Linked DNA regions of Sus scrofa. The protein of the gene in region 7 interacts with the protein of the main gene of each other region in a pairwise test. Links are inferred from orthologs where the notes say so. Each region holds a gene or a part of one and is shown on either strand. Other genes may lie near its edges.

Region 1 (2,715 bases), on a different chromosome or scaffold from region 7:
GGTCGAATCGGAGCCACAGCCACCGGCCTACGCCAGAGCCACAGCAACGGGGGATCCGAGCCGCGTCTGCAACCTACACCACAGCTCACGGCAACGCCGGATCCTTAACCCACTGAGCAAGGGCAGGGATCGAACCCGCAACCTCATGGTTCCTAGTCGGATTCGTTAACCACTGCGCCACGACGGGAACTCCTGGAGCATTATCATATAATTTAGAAACCATTTAAATATTGGTGAATATCTGCCAGTAATAATCACTTTTTTAAAAGTTAGTTGATGTTAAAACATAATTTCTGAGAGCTATTACATACAAAACTAATTAATTGTTGACAGCAATTTCAGACAAAACCATTCCTCTGAGTGTAAAAGGTTACTTTTTATAGAAGGAATAATATCCAGTAGCGTTATTAATTCATGTTTTAAATGCCTTATCTTACATCCTCTCTAAGCCCTATTTTTCTTTCCCTTTGCCCACTTGCCTAGTCAATGAAGGAAACTTCTGTCTTTCATTTCTCTCCTGTTCATTTTTTTTGTGAGTCCCAGTAGCACTGAATGTAATTTTTTTAAATTACAAGTTTAAATTCCTTTACATGGAAGGAAAGCTAGACATTTTGATGTACAATTAGAAATAATAGAAATTAATGAAATAACTATAAAGGTCACTCTTAATTTAACCTCCTCTTAAGAACTTTTTTTTTTCCTGTTTATTAGCACATAATTTAAAATTCTTATTCAGTTCTTTGGTTTGGTTGTTGACTAATATAAAAGTATTTGGTATTTTAGCCATAGATTTTGTGCCCATTGGGTTCCTCAAATGATATATATGCTCTTACTCTGAGAAAAGTTAATGTCTGGTTCTTTAGAACTGAATTATTCATGGCTTATAAATTGAAGGCTTCTTCCTTGACACATTTTAATGTTTAATAGAAAGAAATAGTACGTAACTGAGAGATTTTAAAAATTGTGTTGAAATGAACTTTATTATATTAGTTGTACACCCATCAGTGTTAACATTACTGAATGTTTATCTGAAACCAAAAAGTACTGCAGTAGTAGAAGGCTAATCTTCTAATTGTTATAGATAAATGTGAGTTGTTGGTACCAAAAGATCTTAGTTAGTAAGGTCTCTCACCGATACTAGGTGTTTTCCTCCTGTATAATTATACTAATATATTTTCTTTTTATTCAAAGCTTGCAAACACAGAAGAATACATAGATGGAGCATTGTCTGGACATCTGGGTGAAGTTTTAATAAGGTAAGAAAACAGTAGTCGTATATATAAGGAGTTACTGGTGACCATTAGAAATACCTGCTCAAGTAAATTAATTAGTGCCCAAGTCTCAATTACTTTTAAAAAAATCATTATTAAATCAACATAATATTCTACAACCAGACTTCAAGGGTCTTGAAATTGTTAAACTTGCCAAAGCAGACTGACATATTTTGGAGCTGTTCACTCTTAAGATTTTTCTAGTGTGATACTAAACTTTCTAGCTCTTAACTGTACCTTTTTGAGTGGTTTCAGTAGTTGAAACTTGGTTTTGAATTTTAGATGAATCTGGCTGCTGTTAGAGATATGTATTATACTTATTTTCTAGAACTAGTTTCATACCTCCAAATTCTAGTCATTATTCCCTTGGGAAGATTGTAAAGATACCATTTTATAACAGCCTCATGGTAAAAATATATATGCTTTTTTAAAAAAAAAAAACAAATCAAATGTAAATATTTTAAAAAGAGATGATATATTGTAATTTTAGCATTTGCATTTTTGTAATAAAAAAACAGAATAATAGTTATAATTCAGATCTTATGTGGTTTCTGGTTGGAACAACAAAATGGACTGTTTTTCTGTTTACAGGTGTAATAATGTCCTTTATATCAGGGGTGTTGAAGAAGAAGAAGAAGATGGGGAAATGAGAGAATAGCATCTTTTGGGGGAGATTTTTTTTTATATATATTTGTAGACAATAAAGATGTGTTTGTTTTTCAATTTGATTCTGAGCTATTCATATTCAGATATTTACATGCAGAGCTCAACTGTTGCAACAGATGAAAGAGTGTTCACAGAACTACTGCTGTAAAAGCCACCCAGCTTTATTCAAGCTGATTTTCATGTAAGCCCAAAGCGTTAGGGAAACTTATGCATTATAACTGTCTATGGAGGTGAATGTCAGCCCTTTTCTTGTGATTATATATTAACTGAGACCTTTTAAAAGCAACTGTGTCTTCTAAAGTTATTTTTGAGCCACTTTTGACATATATAAATTTAAATATTTTCTTAGAATTAATATAACCTATTATTTAGTAGTCAGTAAATTACATGTTAATTCTCTATCACTTAAGCTAAGTGATGTACATATTACAGCTAAAATTGAAACATTCCCTGAAAATTAAAACGATTGACTATATAACACAAAAGAAATTGTGAACTGATATTTAGTCTGAAGGCATATAGTTCACATGAGAGAACCAGATTTTCTCGACAGAACTCCTTCATGTGAATTAAAAATCAGTCCTGTAGTTGTGTTCAGAGAACATCAGCTACTGGTTTTCCTGCAGGTGTTAAACTCGTCAAAACCAGTGTTTCAGAGTTGTGCATTGTGAAAATGTATACTCCACAGTGATAAAATCTACTCTGTGAACTTTTCTTGGACTGGTTGGAAAAAAATAGATTATTTAAACTCGCATGTCAGAGAATGCCATTATTACAC
Region 2 (3,500 bases), on a different chromosome or scaffold from region 7:
GAAACCTGGATGTATCTCTGTATATTTTACATTATCTCCTTAGATTCAAACCCAGTTGGGCTGAATGTCTGAGGTTGAGCTAAATTACACTCGGAATGTAATTTAAAACACAACTGCTCTCAATAATTTCTGATTCAGCACTAATTATGGCAACGTAGGACTTAATTAGACAGTAAAATGGCAGGAGACCTAGAATGAGTCACACTAGAGATAATCCTCTCCTGGGCAAATTCTTATTATATAAAATTATAAGCCAATTCCTTCCTGCAGTTCATTTCATATTTTCTAATTAAAAGTTTTAGAAATTGACTACATTTACCCCCCCTCCTTTTTTTTTTCCTGGAAAGGCTATAAAAACCGAAATAGAAGACCACTTTCAATAGCCAACTTTCCAACAATCCCACTACTTTGATTTTATTCCTTGTAGCTTCTGCACACAAAAAAATAAAACCATTGCCTAAAATGTAATTCAGCTATTATTTGGCAAAGAGTTAAAAACACCCTGGATTGTTACAGTACATGTCTAAAACGTTTGAGTCCAGAAACAGCATCATCCATTTTTCTTGAGGGTGTAATTAAATGTTCTTCAAATTAAATGTGCTTCAGTTTGCCTGGGACATCTGTGACCCTAGTTAAAATGATTTCTTACACTAATTCTTGGTCTTTTTCTTCCTTTGTATTTTTTGTGACCTGATCACCTTCTTGCTTAGCAAATGGAAATTCTAGCAGTAAGTGACCTGTCTTAATTTATAGACTACTTATCCGTGTCAGACAAACTGGTTTTCATTTGCCATTTGTGACCTAGCAATGTTTTGTCATGGACTGCTTTAAAAGTAGCGTGTGCTTCAGTTTCGCATAGCCCTGATTCATGAAACGTTTCGGTCCTCCAAAGATAATGAGGTCTTACAATTAACACGTACAACTAGCAGTTCCCTTTTTGCACATCTCTAACTCATCTCCTTTCAGATTTCTTAATTTCAAAAATCCAAGTGCGTGTGTTAATTTCATTATCTTGCTCCAATGAGATTACAAAGTGGCTTTTTGAGCAAAAGGAATTCATTTTAAAGACAAAAGTGCTCTTCCTTTTTAGGCGAGAGGTTATCTAGCGTTTTACTTTTTGCATTATCAAGCAATTGTTGATAAATGCAGCTGAGGTGTACATCTCAGTGTGGCAAGAGTGTATGCATTTGTAAATTCTTTCCATTATGAATTTAAAGTTTTAAGTTCTCGTGACTCCTTTTTGAAGCATTCTGTTTACTGCCTGCTGAAAAATTCTCTAATATGAAAATGTGCTTCACACTAAAAATGATTTTAATAATCTTTAAATGTTTATTTTAATCCCAGTCTTCAGAGCACCTTTTCACCTGACTTTCATCAACTTCACACCATATTAACTTGCTTACTGCAGAACCAATGCCAGGACAAAATTTAACATAATTATTTACTTGTAAATTCTTATTGGAAATATGTTGTCTAGTCATGTATGGAAAATAACACCTACATTTAACTCAACGTTATTTATTTCTAGGAACTGGAGCTCTGCCGAAGGTTATACAAATTGCATTTTCAATTGCTGCTTCTGTTTCAAGCCTACTGTAAACTTATCAACCAAGTAAACACAATAAAAAACGAAGCAGAGGTAAATATTCGGTTGCACCAGGTACTACTAGCTGAGTCTAGAAAATTAAAATATATACATACTTATTTCTTTGTAGGAGTGCTTGGATCAAAAGTCGTTTATGGTGAATCTTTTTTTTTTTTTCTTCTTCCACTTAACCCTCATTGGTTTTTGAAATGGTGTGCCATTTCAGGACCTTGTAGTAAATCTGATAGCAGATATCCAGCAGTCTTAAAAGGTTCAAGCCCTTAAAGGTCACAGCAGCAGCGATAGATCATCTGTAATCAAAAATCGAGTAAAGCACAACCCTTCAATAAAGACGAAATTGTATTATGAAACCCCTTTAGAGGGCCACATAGTATTTCTATAGTTCTAGTAACACAAGAATAAACAGGTCAAGAACCCTTCAAGTGTTAGAAATCATGTTACAAGTAGGGACTTTAGTCTTTTTCCCACTTGTCAACCACTGGTACCATCACTGAGTTGATCATTTTCTAAAATGGCTAAATTTACTTAAAAAAAAATACATATACTGGTTTATATAAAATACCCTGGGTAAATAATCTTTTATAATACAAAGACTTCTCTTACTGTCAAAAATTTTTTTCATGATCCTTCCACAATTCTAAGCCTACTGTTACAAAAAAAAAAAGGAAATTATTTTTTACTATCCAAGATGAAGTGCATGTGTGTATATATATATATATCACATATTAACACCAATATAAACATTGGTTGAGACCTGTTTTACCTATTACCATTAACATTCATTATATTTAAGACAATCTGTTGTTTTATCACACGTATTTAAAGACGACTATCTAGTGGCTGAAATTATTCCAACTGAATAGAGAACTTGAAATATTAACTGCCCATAAAGACTGTGTTTAACAACTAAAAATCATTTTTAAATGAAACTACCACCACCATCAGCTGTAGCCTCACAGCCGCGTCCATGCTCTTTTTGTCTCTGAATGTACACATCGATCTTTTCAGGTCTATTTCTGTGTTTTAGGTCTTCAACATGTCAGAGGAACTTGCCCAACTGGAAAGTATCCTCAAGGAAGCCGAGTCTGCCTCCGAAAATGAAGAAATTGACATTTCCAAAGCTGCACAAACTACTATAGAAACTGCCATTCATTCTTTAATTGAAACTTTGAAAAATAAGGAATTTGTATCAGCTGTGGCACAAGTCAAAGCTTTCAGGTAAAACGTGAAGGCATTTATAGGAGATGTCTTTATGCTGAATGGGGAGTTTACAATGAATGGATTTGGGTTTTCAATTTGATGTTCCAATAGTCTGTGGAAGGAAAACATGACTTTATTTTGTACAGTTATCAATGAAGTAACACCAATTTTAGAGTTTGTTCACACTCGGTGATACCTTCAATAATATTTGCCCAAATGTTAAAACAGATCCTCAGTGATTGATAAGGAAATTTTGTTGTTTTTATACGTATTCACGTAAAGGTAGTTAATCTTCAGTAGTAATTGCTTTGCATCTCAGGACTTAAAAAACACTGTGTATTTTTCAGATCTCTCTGGCCCAATGACATCTTTGGCAGTTGTGAAGATGACCCTGTCCAGACACTGTTACACATCTATTTTCATCACCAGACGCTGGGCCAGACAGGCAGCTTTGCGGTCATAGGCTCTGACCTGGACATGTCAGAAGCCAACTACAAATTGATGGAACTCAATCTAGAAATCAGAGAGTCTCTCCGCATGGTGCAATCATACCAACTCCTAGCACAGGGCAAACCAATCGGAAGTTTGGTGAGCACTGGATTCTGAGAAATTTCAGGAATTTAGGGAAGACTAAACCGAAAATGATTAAGAATATTAAGAAGCACCTTTTATGGACCCTTGCAACTCACTGATG
Region 3 (3,948 bases), on a different chromosome or scaffold from region 7:
CAACTGTGACCTGATTCACATATGTGGGTCCTGGTTATTCACAAGGCATAAGCCTACCAAACCTTCCAGCACTGTGGCATCACTGTGGCATCACTGTGGAATGTTGGTCACAGTGGCAGAGACCTCTGTATGAAAATCATTAGGAATTTGGTAGACCTCAGGCTTCAGGAAGACGATGGCTCTGGGAGGCAGAGTCCTAAATATCAGATGCTTAAAGTGAAGGGGCTACAGCAACAACCAAAAAGGTACTTTGCCTTCTGTTCTCCTGATGTGCACTGTAGAAGTCCTATCCATAGTTAAGAACACCCTGAAATAACCAAGACTGTGACATAGAGCCAGGGATGAATACTCCCCTCAAAAGCAGGCTCATCCCTGAGCAAAGCAACTGAGACAGTAAGTTTAACAGGTAAAGGGATACCACTTTCTCTCCACCAGCCCTGTCCCACTCCTTTAGCTTCTTTTTTTTTTTTTTTTTTTTTTTTGCTTTTGCTTTTTACGGCCACACCCACGGCATATCCCAGGCTAGGAGTAGAATCAGAGCTGTAGCCTCTGGCCTATGCCACAGCCACACAAGATCAGAGCCCCATCTGCAACCTACACCATAGCTCACGGCAACACAGGATCCTTAACCCACTGAGCAAGGCCAGGGCTCGAACCTGCAACCTTGTGGTTACTAGTTGGATTTGTTCCTGCAGAGCCGAGACGGGAACTCCCCTCCTTTAGCTCTTTATTGCTCTCATGTCATGGTGCTACATACTGCATGGTGCCCCTCTAATGCCTTGTGCTGTGCTGCTTTTTGCTGCTTCACACACCATTATCCCACTTGATCCTCACAGGATGAGATGGAGAAAGGGCAAAGGTTATCAACTCCATTTCTTGGATAAGTGAGGCTCAAGTTGCACAATACACATGATATGCCTAAAGGACCAGAAAGTGACACTTAATTGGTGAAATGAACAAACAAATGAAAGGCATGAATCTCTACAGCTGGAAATAATCTCACTGTCTCTAAATGAACCCACATCTGATCTTACCTTGCTTACAAATCTTTTTGCTCTACATCACAAAAACCTAAGAGTTTTTGTGCTGCTCAGGGAGCCAAAAAAGATGATGAGGTTACTAGAATAGTCTAATAACCACTGCAAAGTCCAGTCTGCACAATTCCACTCAACGGGTAATGGGCTGCTACAGGTAGCTGGGGATTTGGTCCCTGAGACTCAGCCCTGTGAAGATGACAGATGAGTCAAGATACACAAGAGGAGAAAGCAGTCTTGTGAGCACTGTAAAGAGGAATTAAGATGCAAATGCCAATGGCCTATGCTGATTTTCTCACCTCCAGAAGTCCAAGGGTATTTCATAAAAACTGAAAATGAAAACTCTTTGGAGTTATTTTAACCGTTAACAGAAAAAGGCTTTTTCTGAGGAGGAAAAATATGCCAACGACTCAAAATGAAGCTACAGTATTGTTTTGGAATTGCCTTGGGAAACTGGCAAAAGAAAACCCACCCAGGGTGGGATTCGGTCCAGCGGCTCCGCGGCTGCACCGCCTAAAGTCTGGGACTACACTCGGCCAGTGATTGGGGGTGGAATCCAGTGACTATTCAGGGGACAACGGTGTCACACAATTTTCACAAAATGGGACCAAGTCCACCCAGTCACTGCTGACAACTTGAGAGGCTTCCCAGAGAACTGAGATAAAGTCAGCAGCCCGTGGCCCAGGAAGGAATATGTATTCCTCTGGGATTAAGCAGGACCAGAGGACCTGGCCAGGCTCGGTTCCTCACAGACACACCCTTTGTTAAGCTCCAGGAGTCCAAAGTCTAACCACGAGTTGAAGATTTGGGTCGCCCGGATTGGGTCAGCTGGTTTCTCTTACGCTTGCAACTTTCTCTAACAGTACTTTAAAAAAAGAAGAAAAAAAAAATATGTTAACAGAAAAAGTAGAGGGAGTGAGACTGAAGTGAAGCCGTTCCGAAAGTTCCGGAGAGGCCCTGGGGGGAAAAGAGCTGACGGGGACTGGACGTCCTTTAAGGTCACCGCACACATCTAACGCAAGCGTCTACACTGCCCGCAGCGCGAGGCTCAGCCTGGGGCACCCGGCGGGAGGCGAGTCTGGGAAGCCGCGTTGCGGGATGGGCACAACTCCCCTGAGAAGAAGCAGAGGCAGCTCCCTGGCAGAAACTGGCCTCGGGGTGCCCTAAAGTCTCCATTCGCCTGTCATGGGTGGGGTAGACGCGGCCCCAGCGCATCGCAGCGAAGCCCCTGCCGTGGGTACCTAAGCCGGGAGCCGGGCCGAGCCCCCGGGTGGCCGGAGATCTGCGGAGCCCAGCGGCGCGCCCAGCCCAGAAGGCGCCCGCGTCCGGACCCTCACGGTCCGCCGCCCCTTCCTTCTCTGCCCGCGGGTACTGGACGCGCAAGCCGCGGGGCCCGAGTCCGCCCCTCCCGAGACCGCGCGCCCGCCCCCGCCCGCAGCGGACGCAGCCCCGACGTCCCCGCGGCCCCCGCCCGCGCCCACCCGGCGCCGAGCCGAGATGCCCAGCCCAGCCCTCCTCGGGGTCCCTGGGGGCCTAGAGGGTCTCCACGGGCGCTGCCCTGAGTCCCCGGAACCCGGTCGCGCCCTTGGCAGCGGCAGCGGCGCGTCCCTTACCGTGCAACGGCTCCGGGCAGCTCCAGGGCCCTGCGGCGCGCCGGGCATTTTTCTTAGGGAAACTTCTCCCCGGTTCGTAGGGCTGAGCCGGCCGGGCAGGAAAAGCGCTCAGCGCCGGGAGGCTGCGACCATCCGGGAACTTCGCTGGGATGTAAACCCTCCCCCTCGGCTCCCCGTCCCCCCCGCCCCCCCTGCGGCCCCGCCGCATGTGGACGCGCCGCGAGGCCGCTGCCGGCCCTTCGCCTCCTCTCTGTGCGCCGCGCCCGCGCTGCCTGGAGCTGAGGCTCTGCGCCCCACGGCCTAGGGCCTCGACGGAGCGTGGCAGCAATGGGGCGATTGGAAGCTGGGGCTCCTGTGTCGCTCCTTCCCCTCCCCTGGGTTTGCAAAGAGGTGGGAACTGGAAGGGGTGTCCAGCTCCAGGGCCCTTTCCTCCGAAGACTCCACAGCTTCCCGCTGTCGGGGTCCCTTCACCACCGCCATCACCACCCCCGTACCCGACCCCCCGCAACCCCAAGAGAGGGAAAGACTTTTCCCGGCCTTCTCTGTCCTCAGAGAGTCCGGCTTGGAAACACCTTAAATTGAAATTCATCTTAAAAAAATGAATTTTAAAATGGAGTGGCACCCACAAAGACCCAAGGTCCACCTGCATCTTTCTCTCTGCCCACTGTGTGGGGACAGCAGTGCTCGTCTTATGGAAAGAAGGCAAGTCCCCCCACCAAGAACCAGCAGGATTCTCTGAGTAGTTCCACTCCTAGTAGGGATGTAGCTAATCAGCCACCCACATCCTCAAATATGGTAGCACCAGCAGCAAACAGTTGGAGAAACCTGAGGTTCTACGCCATTGCCGGAGCTGTTACTGACCAGCTCTGAAAGCGGCCACCTCCAGGATCCAAGCACAAGCTCACACTAAGACAACACAGATGTTAGAATCTATGTGTTTGAAAAGAACAACAAATTGTGATCGATATAATAACCATGTAATCATATTACATGGTTAAAATGTTAAACCATTAAAATGGTTTTCATGTTTATTCATGTTAAAATACCAAGGCTGTATATCCCTCGAATAAAAGCAGGACAGGTGGGAATACATGCACTTCAGAATGGATGTCCTAGCTTGAAGAGGCCCTTCATCCTTGACTTTAGGCTGTCTGCTTGTAGGCCAGTCCCCATGTGCACCTTTGCACCTTGACATGCTCTTAACAGATACAATAATTCTTCTGGGAAAGAGATTTAGTAACATGGGTAAACTTCTCAATGACAAACTTTTGTCCCTGAATGAACCCATCTTTGGGTAAGCT
Region 4 (3,500 bases), on a different chromosome or scaffold from region 7:
TTCAGAGCTCCAACAAAGCCGCCAGCTGGACCCAAAACATCTCCTTTGAAGGACAACCCCTCACCTGAGCCTCAGCTGGATGACATCAAAAGAGGTAGAGAGCATTTTCTAGAGCCATGAAAGCAGCTTGCAGGAGGGTGTTGATGTTTCATGGCGATTATAAGGCTGCCAGTCGTGGTGACATGGGCATTCTCTGCCATTGTCACAGTTTCCACAGAGCTCAAAATTCTGCACTTTGAGCAAAGGGGCAGGGGCTTTACCACTTACCTCCTTTAAAACAGTGACTTGAGTTGTGGCTGTCTTTGCAGCTTTCTGTTTAGAGGCCTGGGGTTTAAACAAGCCTGACTACCATCTGAAAGTCCATATGGCGCACCTTTAAGCCTCTGGAAGAAGAAAAGTCCAAGGTGCTGGGGGTGACAACCAAGTGTGCCAGTGTCAGCATAGGGTCTAGGTTAAATCCTATGGCCGGCACTTTGTGCCAACACAAGGTGTGTAAGCATGAAAGCACCCTGTGGACCAGTGGGTCTGGACCCTGGCCTAGGAAGACTGAGAGGCCCTCCCCAGTGCAAGCCCAAGACATAGACACTCACATACCTTGGCTTTCTCCCTCATACAGTACATGGTTTTAATTGTCCAGACTCTTAGGAAATTAGGAGGGTAGGTGTCACATTACGTTTGTTTTATGAAACAAAATTAAACCCATAATAGTAGTAAACAGGAAAAGATAAAAAGTGGCCCTTGGGAAGTTTGCCTTTTCTACCTTGTGGAAATGCTCTCTTTTAGCAAACACTATCAGTGTGCGTGGTGCCAGTTGTTAGGCTCTTGATTTTTTTTTTTTTTAGGGTTGCACCTGCAGCACGTGGAGGTTCCCAGGCTAGAGGTTGAATCGGAGCCGCAGCTGCCGGCTTAAGCCACAGCCATAACAATGCAGGATCCAAGCTGCATCTGCAACCTACAATGGAACTCACAGCAATGCCAGATCCTTAACCCACTGAGCAACACCAAGGATTGAACCCTTGTCCTCACGGATGGTAGTTGGATTCGTTACTGCTGAGCCACAGCAGGAACTCCAAGCCCTGGATTTTTTTGTTCTTCATGGATATTGGAATGCTGGTGTGTAGAATTTTTCAGTTTAGTTGAACAGGAATTGGACCATGAGAGGTTAGTTGTCACCAGTTATGCTAAAGGAACCATTGTTGTTTGGCCACTGTTAGGTTTGAACCAGAAAATCTGGCATCTTCCATGATGTAGCCTATGGTGAATCCCTAATGTGCTTTCCAGCATTGAAATGTAAGGGAAAACATGTGTTTCCTTCCCTGCTTTACAGTCATAATAAGGCAGTGCTTGAAGGTGTGGCTGTCAGTTGAACATGTAGAGAGGATGGAGCAGGAATGTTCTCCTACTGTCTTTCTTCAGCTACCATGTCCCCTCCTGCAAGCCTCTGTGTACGTGTGGGATGTGAAAGCTAAGAAGGACCCCAGAGACTCTGGCCCTTCCTTTTTTTTTCTTTTTTTTAAAAATCTTTTTAGGGCTGCACGCACGGCATGTGGAAGTTCCCACCTAGGGGTCAAATTGGAGCTACAGCTGCCAGCCTACACCTCAGCCACAGCAATGTGGGATCTGAGCTGCATCTGTGACCTATACCACAGCTCACGGCAACGTTGGATCCCCAACCGACTGAGCGAGGCCAGGAATCAAGCCCACGTACTAGTGGGTTCGTTACAGCTGAGGCACTGCAGGAACTCCTGGCCCTTCCTTTTTCCAGAGCATTGGAAAATTCATTGCCTTCCACCTAGGTCTCCCTGCTGGTGAAGGTGGATCTTGATTTTTTTTTTTTTTAGGGTTGCACCTGCAGCACGTGGAGGTTCCCAGGCTAGAGGTTGAATCGGAGCCGCAGCTGCCGGCTTAAGCCACAGCCATAACAATGCAGGATCCAAGCTGCATCTGCAACCTACAATGGAACTCACAGCAATGCCAGATCCTTAACCCACTGAGCAACACCAAGGATTGAACCCTTGTCCTCACGGATGGTAGTTGGATTCGTTACTGCTGAGCCACAGCAGGAACTCCAAGCCCTGGATTTTTTTGTTCTTCATGGATATTGGAATGCTGGTGTGTAGAATTTTTCAGTTTAGTTGAACAGGAATTGGACCATGAGAGGTTAGTTGTCACCAGTTATGCTAAAGGAACCATTGTTGTTTGGCCACTGTTAGGTTTGAACCAGAAAATCTGGCATCTTCCATGATGTAGCCTATGGTGAATCCCTAATGTGCTTTCCAGCATTGAAATGTAAGGGAAAACATGTGTTTCCTTCCCTGCTTTACAGTCATAATAAGGCAGTGCTTGAAGGTGTGGCTGTCAGTTGAACATGTAGAGAGGATGGAGCAGGAATGTTCTCCTACTGTCTTTCTTCAGCTACCATGTCCCCTCCTGCAAGCCTCTGTGTACGTGTGGGATGTGAAAGCTAAGAAGGACCCCAGAGACTCTGGCCCTTCCTTTTTTTTTCTTTTTTTTAAAAATCTTTTTAGGGCTGCACGCACGGCATGTGGAAGTTCCCACCTAGGGGTCAAATTGGAGCTACAGCTGCCAGCCTACACCTCAGCCACAGCAATGTGGGATCTGAGCTGCATCTGTGACCTATACCACAGCTCACGGCAACGTTGGATCCCCAACCGACTGAGCGAGGCCAGGAATCAAGCCCACGTACTAGTGGGTTCGTTACAGCTGAGGCACTGCAGGAACTCCTGGCCCTTCCTTTTTCCAGAGCATTGGAAAATTCATTGCCTTCCACCTAGGTCTCCCTGCTGGTGAAGGTGGATACACAGCAAGGGCTCGGACCTTCCAGTTCCTGGCCAGGTATTTCTCATCCCCTGAGCATGGCATTGCTCTTCTCTTATTTGATGTTTAAATAAAGATTTAATTCACAATCTTTTTTTTTTTTTTTCAAAGTAGATAAAGGCAAAATAAACTTAATTCATTTTTAGAAGAATCATCCTGAAGCAATTTGACTTTTGGTTATTTGGATGAATTAAATGTTGCCATTGTCTCTCTGGAGACAGGTTAGATGTTTTTGTTTGTTGGTTTGGGTTTTGGTCGTTTTGTTTGTTTGTTTTTTGGCCACGCTCACGGCATGTGGAAATTTCTGGGCTAGGGATCGAACCCATGCCATAGCATTGACAATGCCGGATCCTTAACCTACTGCACCACCGGGGACTCCATTGTTTGTTTTCAAGGAATTGGGAAACAGTTCATTTTCAGTTATGCCACGTTGCTATGGGTTTGGCCAATTTACTGTTTATAGAAGGCTTGATGTGCTGACCCTTGTCCTGTCGTTTATTCCAGAGCTGAGGGCTGAGGTGGACATTATCGAGCAGATGAGCAGCAGCAGTGGGAGCAGCTCCTCGGACTCCGAGAGCTCGTCGGGAAGTGACGATGACAGCTCCAGCAGTGGCGGTGAGGACAACGGCCCCGCATCCCCTGCTTCACACCATCAGCCGTAC
Region 5 (3,370 bases), on a different chromosome or scaffold from region 7:
AACTTCATCAGTTCTCTTTGTCCCCTCTTTATTCTGTCACAGATAAACTCACTTCCTTTATCCTAAAAGTAAGCTAAACCAAACCAACAAATCTCAAAACGTTTCTGCGCATCTTAACCCCCTTCAAAGTTTTCTGCTTCTCCCTTCTTAACAGTCCAAGCACAGCTTCTACATCAAGCCCTTGCTGAAACTCTGTTGCTAAATAGAAGTCAGTTTTGTCCTCATGACAAGATCCAGTCACCTCATTTGTCAAAAATCTATGCGTAGCCATGCCCTCCATGTCTAGACTGGGCGATCTGCTTCCACTTCTCTGTTCTCCTCCAGCTAAATGTTAAATTCTGCTCTGCTGCAGGGCTATCGTATTTTCTCCCATCACATCATCTTTGTTTTGTCGTCTACTTTTGAGTCCAAACAACAGGAAAAGGGCCCCAGTTTAGAAGTTTTAGCAAAATTTCTACTCATGGCACGCAGAAGTTTTTAAAATATCACAATCACAAGAAATCATTTAAAGTATCATTCCTTTTAAAAACAAGCTTACCTCAACTTGCGAACTGTATGTGTGAAGATCATTAGAAACAAGTAGTTTTGGGGGAAGAGCAGGAGGGAAAAATTAATCTTTGTTTTTTAGCTTATTTGTACGGGAGCAAGTAAACTGTTAACAGACCAATAACAAATTTGAGTTAAGTGCAGTACTATGGAACTGCAAGGAAGCACAGTAGCTCTGAAGCAAACACAGAGCTCTGTAAAGGGAGAAGGAGAGACACCACTAGATTTCTAGTTCTGCTGTTTGTCTTAGGAAAAGCATTTGGGGTGAAAGGAGTTTTTGGTAACTTTATTTTCTAAAAATCCATCCTACCTCTATGTTTTTTGTTTTTGTTTTTGTTTTTTTTTTTTTGCCTACATCTTCTCTTGTTAAAAATGAACAGCAACAAAGACAAATGCTTATCCGGCCACACGTTTCGGGTCAGCCCAGTTCAGCTTGTAGAGCGCGAAGGTCCAGCAGGAGGAGTTGTGCGCTGGGCCGCTGCTGCGCAGGGGCCGTCCAGCCGCACTGGATGATGTCCTCCAGTTTCTTCCCAGGGACGGACTCGGTGAAGACCGCCGCCGAGAGGGACGGACGGAGATTGTAGGCCACCACCGCGTAGAGCACGTGCTGACGCTCCCCTGAGTAAGGCACCTGCCTAGTGGTCATCTGCCAGAGGGTGATGGCAAAGGAGTAGATGTCCGCTTTTGGGGTGACGGGCTCGCCTTTGAGGAGCTCGGGGGCTCGGTGGGTGTACGTGCCGCCCAGGTGGTGCCGAGGCCGGAAGCGCAGATCTTCCAGCCTCTCGGAGCAACCAAAGTCGCTGATTTTGCAGACGTCCTGCTCACTGATCAGAATGTTCGCTGGCTTCAGGTCCAAGTGCACAATGCCTTGGGAGTGCAGGAAAAGCAGGCCACTGACCACATCCAGGGAATACTTGAGACACTTCTCCAAGTTCAGTTGCTCCCCAGCACTGCAGGGAGGCCCATCCTCCTCTGGACAGCCCGTAGCGCCGTAGATGACCTGGTGTAAGGTGACGTTGCCGCCGAACTCCATGATGATGCTGCCCAGGCTGTCAAAGGCCGCGGGTGTGCGCGTGCTGGCGGCCACCACGCGCACGATATTGGCGTGGCGGAGCCGAGCGATGTTGAGCTCGGCCCAGAAACTGCGCTGGGATGCCAGCCGGTTCTTGGTGCATCTGCTCACCTGTTTGATGGCCACAGGCACGCCGTGGTAGGTGGCCTTGTATACCGAGCCGAAGCCCCCGGCTCCCAGCCGCTGCAGCAGGCACACCTGTTCCCAGTCTATTGAGCACCAGGCCAGCCGGCGAGGAAGGCGCAGGGCCCGGGGTGGGGTGCCCCCCAGGAAGAGCTTCCCTGTCGGCCCCGGGAGCTCGCAGGGGCTGCTGCAGGGCCGCGAGTCCACCGACGGGGAGAAGTCGCCAGGCAGGCACCGGCGCCGAGGGAAAGGTGAGGGCATCGCCCTGCGGAGGGCAGCCCGCCGCGGCTTGGGTGGGATAGGAGGGAAGAGAAGACCCAGCGGGCGGGCGTGCAAGCATCACTGACCACCTGCCGCTCCGCGCCCCGGCCCAGCGCTTTTCTCCTCTGCCTCCATCTTCCGCAGATGAGCCACATCTGTGCTGTTACTCAGCGAGGGTTGTTATCAGATGGGGAAACAATCTGAACGAAGCACAAAAATCCCGCTCAGATGAAAGCATTTCCCTTTAGCACTTAAAGTGAACTCCTATGAAAACAAGCCCCGGAGAAGCGTTGACTGGATAAGCGGCCCTAAGCTGCCCCAGAACTCACCCACTTTTACACTGCTGCTTCTCTTATCGTAACACAGGCTTCCCCCCCAATTCTCATCCGCCGAGCATTATCAGTCCACCACAACAGTGCAATGAAAATATTCCACACTTTGCAGGCTATAATGATTGTCAGTTTATTCTCCAGCTGCATTAAATCACTGCCAGCAGTTATTGGCAGAAAGAGTTGAAACATCAACAGCTGAGCTTTTTTAACCGATTACAGGGAAAATTAGGTGCAACGTTCATATATGGAGAAAAAAACAGTAACAAAGTAATCGACCCAAACAGAATCACTGAGTCAGGTCAAAATACAAACCTCTTAAATTCATCAGGGAAAAGGAAAATTCTCTGACAGTCCACTCAGCTTATATAGCGAATTAGCAAGACTTCTTAGCAATGTAAAGACTCCCTAGCAATCCTTCCGGTCCATGGCAGTCCGGCCCACCCAGGAAGCTCCCTTGCAGAAGAGATTCTAGACTTCACAGCAAATGAGTTACAGAAGTTTTGAAGCAGAGTTAGGGGAGGAAAAAGAGCAAAAATGATTCAGAGCCATGACCAGAGCTTCAAATAATAACAAATATGAGAGTATCCTAGGAGAGGAAAAATCTGAAGAAATAAAAATGGCACAGAACCACTATTGCCTTCCTATAATGTTGAAAACCAGATGTTGAAATTAAATCCAGGGTCTTGCTGTCCAACCGTTAGTTCTTCCATTCTAATTTTTATAATAAAAAACTAATTTTTATTCCATACTTTTGGAAAAAGACCGATAATATTACTCTGTTCATTAAAAAACACGGGAAAGGTGTTCCCAGGTGGGTCAGCAGGTTAAGGATCTGGTGCTGTCACTGCAGTGGCTGGATCACTGCTATGGCACAGGTTTGATCCCTGGCCTGGGAACTTCCACATGCCACCAGTGCAGTCAAGAAAAAAAGAAAGAAAAATGAAGAAAAACAACACTGGAGAATGGTAGTGTCTACATTTTGAAACATCAAATGATGAAAGTTCTATCATGACTTACTGCACTTAGGGCATGTAGG
Region 6 (2,847 bases), on a different chromosome or scaffold from region 7:
ACACCGTCCGGCCCCGGTCCAGCCCTCAGGGGACCTCGCAGCACCGCGTCGGTGTCTTCCCACACCCCAGCCTCGTCTATGCAGCAGGAGACCAGGGACTTAACCAAAGTCGGGCCGGCTGGGCCCTCTGTGCCCCGCTCCTCCCGTATGAACCAGAAAGCCATGATGTTTTAAAGCAGAGCCAGCGAAACCCAAGCCCTTCTACCCTCTTGTGTTTCAGAGCCATAAAGGAGGTGGTGAAGGGGCCGAGGTGACTGAGATCTCTCGCGCCGCCAAGACTGAACACATAACCCAAGCAGCAGGCAAAAGAACAGTGCAGCCCATCGTGGCAGAGCCTCTAATGTAGGGGGCTCACTGAGACACCCCCCCGGGGGGGTGGGGGAGATAACCCACTGCTTGGGGCAGGCAGAGGAGCTCAGCAATTAGTGGAGGTCTTAGAACTGGAGAGCCATTCAACCCCTCTTCCCTCTGTCCCCCCAGCCCTTCAGGGCAATCACCAGGAGCTCATCACGCGTTTTATTCAAAGTTGGCACTTGCAACTGGAGACCCTGTCCTGCACGGCATTAAGCATCCTCCGTGGATAAGATCACCAAGCTCCTTGGCTTCCAGTTCTTTTCCTGTCTGCAGTAGAGCTCTGTGTACTTCTCCCCAGAGCCTTCCCACTGCAGCGGGGTGGTGGGGAAGGGGCAGTCACAGCTCATGGCCCCAGGAGGTGTGCAGGTCTAGTCCAGGCTTCACGAGAGCTGGCTCTGGCATGGGGCTCATGGCAGTGCCTGGGTCAGCACCCCAGAGATCCCTGGCTGTCAGCAGCTGGGCTCCACATAGTTCCCAGGGAAGAATCCGGAACCCTCGGAGCTGACGCCCTCACACCAGCCATCAGAGTAGCGGCGGGTGATGCAGATAACGGTGCCCTCAGAGAAGGAGAGTTCGTTGTCCTTCTGGCCGGTGTATGGGTACAGCGTTACCACTGCAGGGCGGGAGGGGAGGGTGCCATGAGATGTGCTTCCTGCAACCATGGGGATGCTGGCGCCCTGCATGCTAGACTTTAGGGAGCAACTAGGGGAGAAGGCTGCAGGGAGTGGGGCAGGAGATGCCTTTTCCAAAGGCCCCCCCGCCCCATTCTTCCCCAGCTGAGCTAATAATGAGGCCAGCTGCTTCCTTTGCAGGGGGTGGGGTGCAGACCACCTTTGCAGAAGGGAGGGGAGGATGACACTGCGATGGAAGAGTTGGGTGGGGGGAGCCCTGAACCCAGGATCTGGTGCCCTTTCCCGTCTCAAGAGTCAAGTACCTTTCTCCAAGTATGCATCAGGGATCCAGCTAGGCTCTTCTGGCCCAAAGCCTGGTGGGGGTGGAGGTGGAAGCCCCAAGTCGTCTACATCCAGGGGTGGAGGAGGGGGCAGGTCCAGGGGGAGGGGCAGCTCTGGGGCTGAGAGGGAAAAGCAGAAAGGCTGCCAATGTGACAGGGAACCTGCCACTCTTTGAACGTCACTGTTCAAAGAGCAGGGCTCCAGGGTTTATCCATGTTATTTTTTGGCCAAGCCTGTGGCATATGGAAGCTCCACTGTGCCACAAAGAACTCCAAGGATCTACTCGTTTTAGGTAATCTGCCTCTTACCCTCGTTCATCCTGCTCCTCCCACAATGCCTAGCAGGCAGGAGGTGCTTAGTAAACACTGAGTGACGGTGAATCGAATCTTGTAGGGTGAGCAGACTCTGCCACTTAGCTTGGTGAGCCTGGGGCAAGTCAATTTAACTCTCAAGCTCAGCTTCTCTTAAATGGGAGTGTGGAGATTCTCTTAGGGTTAAGTTTAAGTGGGAAGGTGGGTGAGACGCTTCGCCCCCGGGGGCCTGGTATAAAGCAGGTGCGCTCAACTACGTTCGCTTCCCCTTCCCCTTACGCCTGTTGCAAAGCATCCACGGAGAGGCCCAATTGGATCCAAGGGGTGGGGAGAAGTGTTGGGGTGAGGCAACGACCCCAAAGTTGAGCTAGGAGGGGAGGGCGGAGCTCCTTACCCGGCGGGGGCAGGGACAGTTCCTCCAGTGGAGGGGGCAGCAGGAAGACGTCGGAGGCAGCAGGTGGAGGGGGCGGAGGTGCTGCTTGCCCCTTGACCGCGGAGACACCACCGACCCCTTCAGCGCTGCTGAAGACCAGAGAAAGGGGGGGGGGCTTAGGCTTGACTGGGGGACGCCCTCCCTAACTCGGCATCAACTGGCCCCGCCCCTTTAGTTGTAAGCCCCGCCCTTGTTCTCCTGTGGCCTCTCACCGCCCCGCCCCGCCCCCCCCCCGCCCCAGCCATCCTATTTTTTGGGCCCGTGGGCTCACCCGGCCGAGGCCAGGGAGGAGGCAGAGGAGGCGGCGGAGAGCTTGCCGTTGGGCACCACGGGGGGCTGCACCGGCTCGGGGATCCGGGGCGCTCTCCTAGGGGTGGAGGGGAAGGGTGTCAGCAAGAGGGAAGGCTGCTGGCAGGCAGGGGGTCGGGACGGGGAGGAGGTGGTAGCTGGCAGCTGGCAGCTGGCAGGAGGAAGTTTGGCGCCCGGCTTGAAGCGAGGGTAGGGGAGTCGAGTTTGTGGACTTGGGCGGGGCAGGTTAGGATCGCGGCGAGGCCTCACCCGAGGGTGGCGGAGGCGGGTGCGGCAGGCGCCTTGATGCTCTTTCGAGACAGGGTCCCGGTCCGAGACAGCTGCGTGCTCGAATCCTGCGGGTGGAGGGGAGGGGAAGCAGGGGGCGGGGCTGACTCGTTGCCCCGCCCCCACGCCGCCGTGGCCCCTCCTCCCGGAGAGGAAATGGGGGAGGGGCGGGCGAGGGCCGGGAGAGAGAGCGTGGCCACCGGCAAGTTCCCGCTTCCAC
Region 7 (4,212 bases):
CAATCCCAGGCATTGCTCAGTGGGTTAAGGATCCCTCGTTGCCACAAGCTGCGACATAGATCACAGATGTGGCTCTGATCTGGTGTTGACTATGGTTCTGATTGGACCCCTAGCCTGGGAACTTTCATATTCCTTAGGTTCAGCCCTAAAAAGACAGGGGAAAAAAAAATGGCAAACACTTCTGAGGTTTGAGAAAGCTCACAAGTGAGTCTCCAAGCTTCAGGGAAGTGCAGGTTCTGAGGAGCCTCAGTGCTCTGTCCAAGAACTCGGTGGCACTGTGTGACTTTGGAGGGAGGAGTCTCCAGGGAAAGGGCAGATAATAGGATTGACAAGGGGGCCCCACAGGCAGGCTCGGATCAGGGGAGACTGAACTCAGTTCCAGAAGGACCCTCTCCCAGCAAGCGTATGAAGGGGTGGCTTCCCTCTGACCAGAGGTGGCAAATGCAGGCCTGTGGGCCTCCAGGCAATTTTCTCATTTGGTGGGACCTGGACAATGATGTTCCTTCCACCTCAGTCTTTGGACCCTATAACACAGCAACAATAATCCTAACCCAACCTCACTAGCATTTCTTTTTCTTTCTTTTCTTCTTCTTTTTTTTTTTTTAGGGCCACACCTGACCCACAGCACATGGAGGTTCCCAGGCTCGGGGTTGAATCAGAGCTGCAGCTGCAGGCCTTCACCACAGCCACAGCAACCTGAGATCTAGGCCCATCTGAGACTTACACCACAGCTCACAGAAACACCAGATCTTTTTACCCACTGAGCGAGGCCAGGGATGGAACCCACATCCTCCTGGGTACTAGTTGGGTTTGTTTGGGGTGAGCCACAACAGGAACTCCCCTCACTAGCATTGTTACAGTTGTTTGGGGGGATCAGGGTGGGATGGGAAAGCAGGCAGGGATTCTGAGCAGGGCATCCTGTATCAAGCCCCTTAAGTGCCTACTGTTTGCCTCTCTCTCACCTTCTTCTAGGCCCCTCTCCGCCCAAGTCTCTTTGGTTTTCTAGAAACACGCACTGAGCTCCTACCGTGTGCAGACGCCTGGACCCACAAGGCGTCAGATGTGCGCTGCCTCTGGATTCCCATCAGGTGAAGAGGGACTTGACCCCCCATCACAGGCAAAAGCAGCAGTGATGGGGAGGGTCCGGCTCACTCTTGAACAAAGGATGAGGCCACATTCTATTCTGTCCACCTAGGCCTGTCTCTGACTCCCTCCTCCATCTCTCTGTCTCTGGGTCTGGGTCTCTGTCTCCACTGCATCCCCTGTCCCCTTCTGTACCCATCTTAATATCCCGTCCACAATCCTCCCCACTTCCTCCCTGCTCCCACCCCTCCCTCTCCCCCTCGCCGCGGAGGGCCGGCAGGGGGCGCTGCGGGACGGCCTCGGCCGCCCGGGGAGGCGGGGCGGGCGGCGGCCGCGTCGGGACCGGCCGCGATGGGACCGGAGGCGGCGCGGGCGGCGGCGGCGGCGCAGACAAAGGCGCGGGCGGTGCGGCGGGCGGCGAGGAGGGCGCGGGCCCCGGAGCCAGCGAGCGAGCGGGGCGCCCGGCTTCGGGGAGTCGGCGCCGTGGGGCCGCACCCGTCTCGCGCCCGGACATTTGCGGGGCGCCGAGCCGTCAGGGTGAGCCTGGATAGCTGAGCCTGCACTGGGTGCAGGGGGTTGGGGGCGCGAAGTTCTGGGACTGGGGACAGGGCTCGGGGGTCCTCGAAGTTCCGAATACGGAGGCTGGGGGCGGATCAGGGAGCCCCGAAGTTCCAGGGCTTGAGAGGGCACAGGAACCCCGAAGTTCCGGAGTCGGGGTCGAGGAGGGCACAGTACGCCGGGTTCCCCAAATTCCGGACCTAAGGTGGAGGGGAGGCGCGAGGGGACGCCGAAATTCCAGACCTGGGGATGGAAGGGTGGCAGGGGTCCCCGAAGTTCAAGAGCCAGGGACAGCGGGGAGGATCCCCTAAGTTCTGGACCTGTAGTTGCAGGAGGTAGATAACACGTCCCCGAAGTTCTGGATCCGGAGTCAGGGGGAGGGGGGGAGGCGTAGCAGGGATCTTGGAAATACCAAGGTCCGGGATGGCACTTCCTGCATTTGGGGCGCACATGGGGCACCCCGCTTCTGACGGGTGGGGATTCGATTCTGAGCGAGTATCTCCTCAGATCCCCTGGGCTGGGGTTCCTGGGGTGGGGCTTCGCCCCCTCACGCGATTGTGGATCCAGTACACCGGGCGGGGTCAGGCCCCCCTTTGGGAGCCCCGCTGCCGGCAGCAGCGGCGTCCGAGGCGCATGACTAGTTGGTGAGTAACTTTCCCCAACGCCTAGAATCGCTGCAGGAGCATCCGGGCAGGGAGGCCCGAGTTTCTGGGACCCCCTGCGCCCGGAACCCTGGCTCAACCCGGGACCTAGCCCCAACCCTGGCCAAAGTCGCTGCCCCTCCCCCACCCAGGGGCTCCGGTTTCAGACCCTGTGACCGGGACAGCAGCTGCCCAGGACAGAGGAGGGGGGCATTCCCCCTCTGACCATGGAGGCTGCTGGGTCGGGGCCTCTCTTCCCTTAGTTTGCCTCCCCCTTCCCCCAGGTCCTCCCCTAGGACTCCCCCCCCAACCCCAGGGTGTTCAGATTAAGTGGTGAGAGGTGATGCGGACTGAGTGGTGATTGGAGGCCACCACCTTGAACCTGTTTAGCCACATCTTGTTTTTTTAACTAGGCTGAGGGCTCCCTGGGGGCTTTGACTCTGAGGTGTGCCTCTGCCCTAAGGTGGAAGCTGAGGGGTCTCTTTGTGGGTCCAGAAGGGGACTGGTTTACCAGTAGGCACCTGCCAATGCCCCACTTTTTGATGGAGGCTCTGCTTTGGGAGTGATGGATGAATGTGTCAGGAAGTACTACACAGGAGTTGGCCTTGGCCTCCTCAGCCCAACCCAGAGATTAAGAAGACTTCACTGGGGGTCTAATAACCAAGAAGATGAGAGGTTTATGCTGGTAGGAGCCACTTGGCTCCTATCAGAGGTAGTCTCCTGCCCAGGGTGTTGCAAGGGCTTCTTCTAGATGGGGAGAGTTGGGGTCTTTTTGCTGAGAACTTTGAGCTTGAAGCTCTGTGAATAGTGAACCTGGTGGTGGGTCCTGATGTTGGACATGCTTGGCCTCCCTCAGCCTGGCCTGGGGGACACTCACAGGCCCCCCTTCTCCCCGCAAAGGCCAAACCAGCAGCTCCTACCATTCTTCTGGCTGCCCCTTGGAGCCCACAGACCAGCCTGACCAATGTCCACAGCCAGGTGAGCCTCTGCCTCTACCAGCTTGACCCTTAGTCTTCTGAGATGGGGGGCATTGCCTGGCCTCCACTGAGCACCCTCTCCCCACCAGGGAGCAGCCCATCTTCAGCACTCGGGCGCATGTGTTCCAGATCGACCCGGCCACTAAGCGGAACTGGATCCCTGCGGGCAAACATGCACTCACTGTCTCCTACTTCTACGATGCCACCCGCAATGTCTACCGAATCATCAGCCTTGGGGGTGCCAAGGTCCTGGTGGGGCCTGGGTGGGGTGCCAGGTGCCAAGGATCCCAGTGACAGGGGTGGGTTCAGTTGCTGCTTTGCTGTGTGCTTTGGGAGCACGGGGTGGTGGGGGGGTGCCCTGAGTCTTTCTGGGCCTCAATCTTCCTCTTGAAATGGCCAAAGACCTCTGAGGTGCTAATACAAAGTGATACCCCCCGGGGAAGGGGTTCATGTTCATTATTACCAGTTCCCATCAACCATGAACTTTGCTTACCCTCCCCCCCAGGCCATCATCAATAGCACTGTCACCCCCAACATGACCTTTACCAAAACCTCCCAGAAGTTCGGGCAGTGGGCAGACAGTCGCGCCAACACTGTCTATGGCCTTGGCTTTGCTTCTGAACAGCATCTGACACAGGTGGGCCTGTGGGGGTACATGGTGGGAGGAACGGGGCTAGGGATGGGTCTTCTCTTGGGTGCTGGGGGACCCTGGACAGATGGCTGGGCCTCCATTTTTCCAGCTGCAGAATGGGCATACAGAATTGGACAAGCAGAAAGAAAACAGAATTAGACAAGCCAGTGGCCCCTTCCCACTTCCCTGGTTCACATCCCAGCTCTGTTGCCTGCCTGCTCTGATTTCAGAAGCACCTGCCCCTCCCTGGATGCCTGGGATGTGCTTCCTCCCCACACACGCTAGCACTACCTTCATTATCAACTTCCTCTACCCTCAGCTG

Evidence for each region.
Region 1: the proteins of HOMER3 (region 7) and SNRPF interact in binary tests that used the Homo sapiens proteins (3 or more experiments, as listed by UniProt). The two-hybrid records come from large-scale screens. The link is inferred for Sus scrofa from reciprocal best matches to the Homo sapiens genes HOMER3 and SNRPF.
Region 2: the proteins of HOMER3 (region 7) and FRYL interact in binary tests that used the Homo sapiens proteins (3 or more experiments, as listed by UniProt). The two-hybrid records come from large-scale screens. The link is inferred for Sus scrofa from reciprocal best matches to the Homo sapiens genes HOMER3 and FRYL.
Region 3: the proteins of HOMER3 (region 7) and WIPF1 interact in binary tests that used the Homo sapiens proteins (3 or more experiments, as listed by UniProt). The two-hybrid records come from large-scale screens. The link is inferred for Sus scrofa from reciprocal best matches to the Homo sapiens genes HOMER3 and WIPF1.
Region 4: the proteins of HOMER3 (region 7) and EAF1 interact in binary tests that used the Homo sapiens proteins (3 or more experiments, as listed by UniProt). The two-hybrid records come from large-scale screens. The link is inferred for Sus scrofa from reciprocal best matches to the Homo sapiens genes HOMER3 and EAF1.
Region 5: the proteins of HOMER3 (region 7) and MOS interact in binary tests that used the Homo sapiens proteins (3 or more experiments, as listed by UniProt). The two-hybrid records come from large-scale screens. The link is inferred for Sus scrofa from reciprocal best matches to the Homo sapiens genes HOMER3 and MOS.
Region 6: the proteins of HOMER3 (region 7) and ABI gene family member 3 interact in binary tests that used the Homo sapiens proteins (3 or more experiments, as listed by UniProt). The two-hybrid records come from large-scale screens. The link is inferred for Sus scrofa from reciprocal best matches to the Homo sapiens genes HOMER3 and ABI3.

The regions. Positions count from the first base shown.
Region 1 is NC_010447.5:87,614,434-87,617,148, reverse strand, and holds the end of SNRPF (small nuclear ribonucleoprotein F), read left to right. Parts: intron 1-1,191; coding exon 1,192-1,256; intron 1,257-1,862; coding exon 1,863-1,929; 3' UTR 1,930-2,215; downstream 2,216-2,715. UniProt on the Homo sapiens protein: Plays a role in pre-mRNA splicing as a core component of the spliceosomal U1, U2, U4 and U5 small nuclear ribonucleoproteins (snRNPs), the building blocks of the spliceosome.
Region 2 is NC_010450.4:38,397,599-38,401,098, reverse strand, and holds part of FRYL (protein furry homolog-like), read left to right. Parts: intron 1-710; coding exon 711-728; intron 729-1,528; coding exon 1,529-1,639; intron 1,640-2,633; coding exon 2,634-2,824; intron 2,825-3,153; coding exon 3,154-3,412; 3' UTR 3,413-3,500. UniProt on the Homo sapiens protein: Plays a key role in maintaining the integrity of polarized cell extensions during morphogenesis, regulates the actin cytoskeleton and plays a key role in patterning sensory neuron dendritic fields by promoting avoidance between homologous dendrites as well as by limiting dendritic branching.
Region 3 is NC_010457.5:80,643,663-80,647,610, forward strand, and holds the start of WIPF1 (WAS/WASL-interacting protein family member 1), read right to left. Parts: upstream 2,801-3,948; 5' UTR 2,648-2,800; intron 1-2,647. UniProt on the Homo sapiens protein: Plays a role in the reorganization of the actin cytoskeleton. Contributes with NCK1 and GRB2 in the recruitment and activation of WASL.
Region 4 is NC_010455.5:2,661,329-2,664,828, forward strand, and holds part of EAF1 (ELL-associated factor 1), read left to right. Parts: coding exon 1-94; intron 95-3,342; coding exon 3,343-3,500. UniProt on the Homo sapiens protein: Acts as a transcriptional transactivator of ELL and ELL2 elongation activities.
Region 5 is NC_010446.5:75,738,207-75,741,576, reverse strand, and holds MOS (proto-oncogene serine/threonine-protein kinase mos), read right to left. Parts: upstream 2,176-3,370; 5' UTR 2,003-2,175; coding exon 965-2,002; 3' UTR 501-964; downstream 1-500.
Region 6 is NC_010454.4:25,438,963-25,441,809, reverse strand, and holds the end of ABI gene family member 3, read right to left. Parts: intron 2,696-2,847; coding exon 2,610-2,695; intron 2,419-2,609; coding exon 2,323-2,418; intron 2,141-2,322; coding exon 2,013-2,140; intron 1,427-2,012; coding exon 1,289-1,426; intron 968-1,288; coding exon 804-967; 3' UTR 501-803; downstream 1-500. UniProt on the Homo sapiens protein: May inhibit tumor metastasis. In vitro, reduces cell motility.
Region 7 is NC_010444.4:58,912,537-58,916,748, forward strand, and holds the start of HOMER3 (homer protein homolog 3), read left to right. Parts: upstream 1-1,412; 5' UTR 1,413-1,620; intron 1,621-2,148; exon of another isoform or gene 2,149-2,285; intron 2,286-3,138; exon of another isoform or gene 3,139-3,182; 5' UTR 3,183-3,246; coding exon 3,247-3,260; intron 3,261-3,348; coding exon 3,349-3,505; exon of another isoform or gene 3,506-3,558; intron 3,559-3,764; coding exon 3,765-3,896; intron 3,897-4,212. UniProt on the Homo sapiens protein: Postsynaptic density scaffolding protein. Binds and cross-links cytoplasmic regions of GRM1, GRM5, ITPR1, DNM3, RYR1, RYR2, SHANK1 and SHANK3.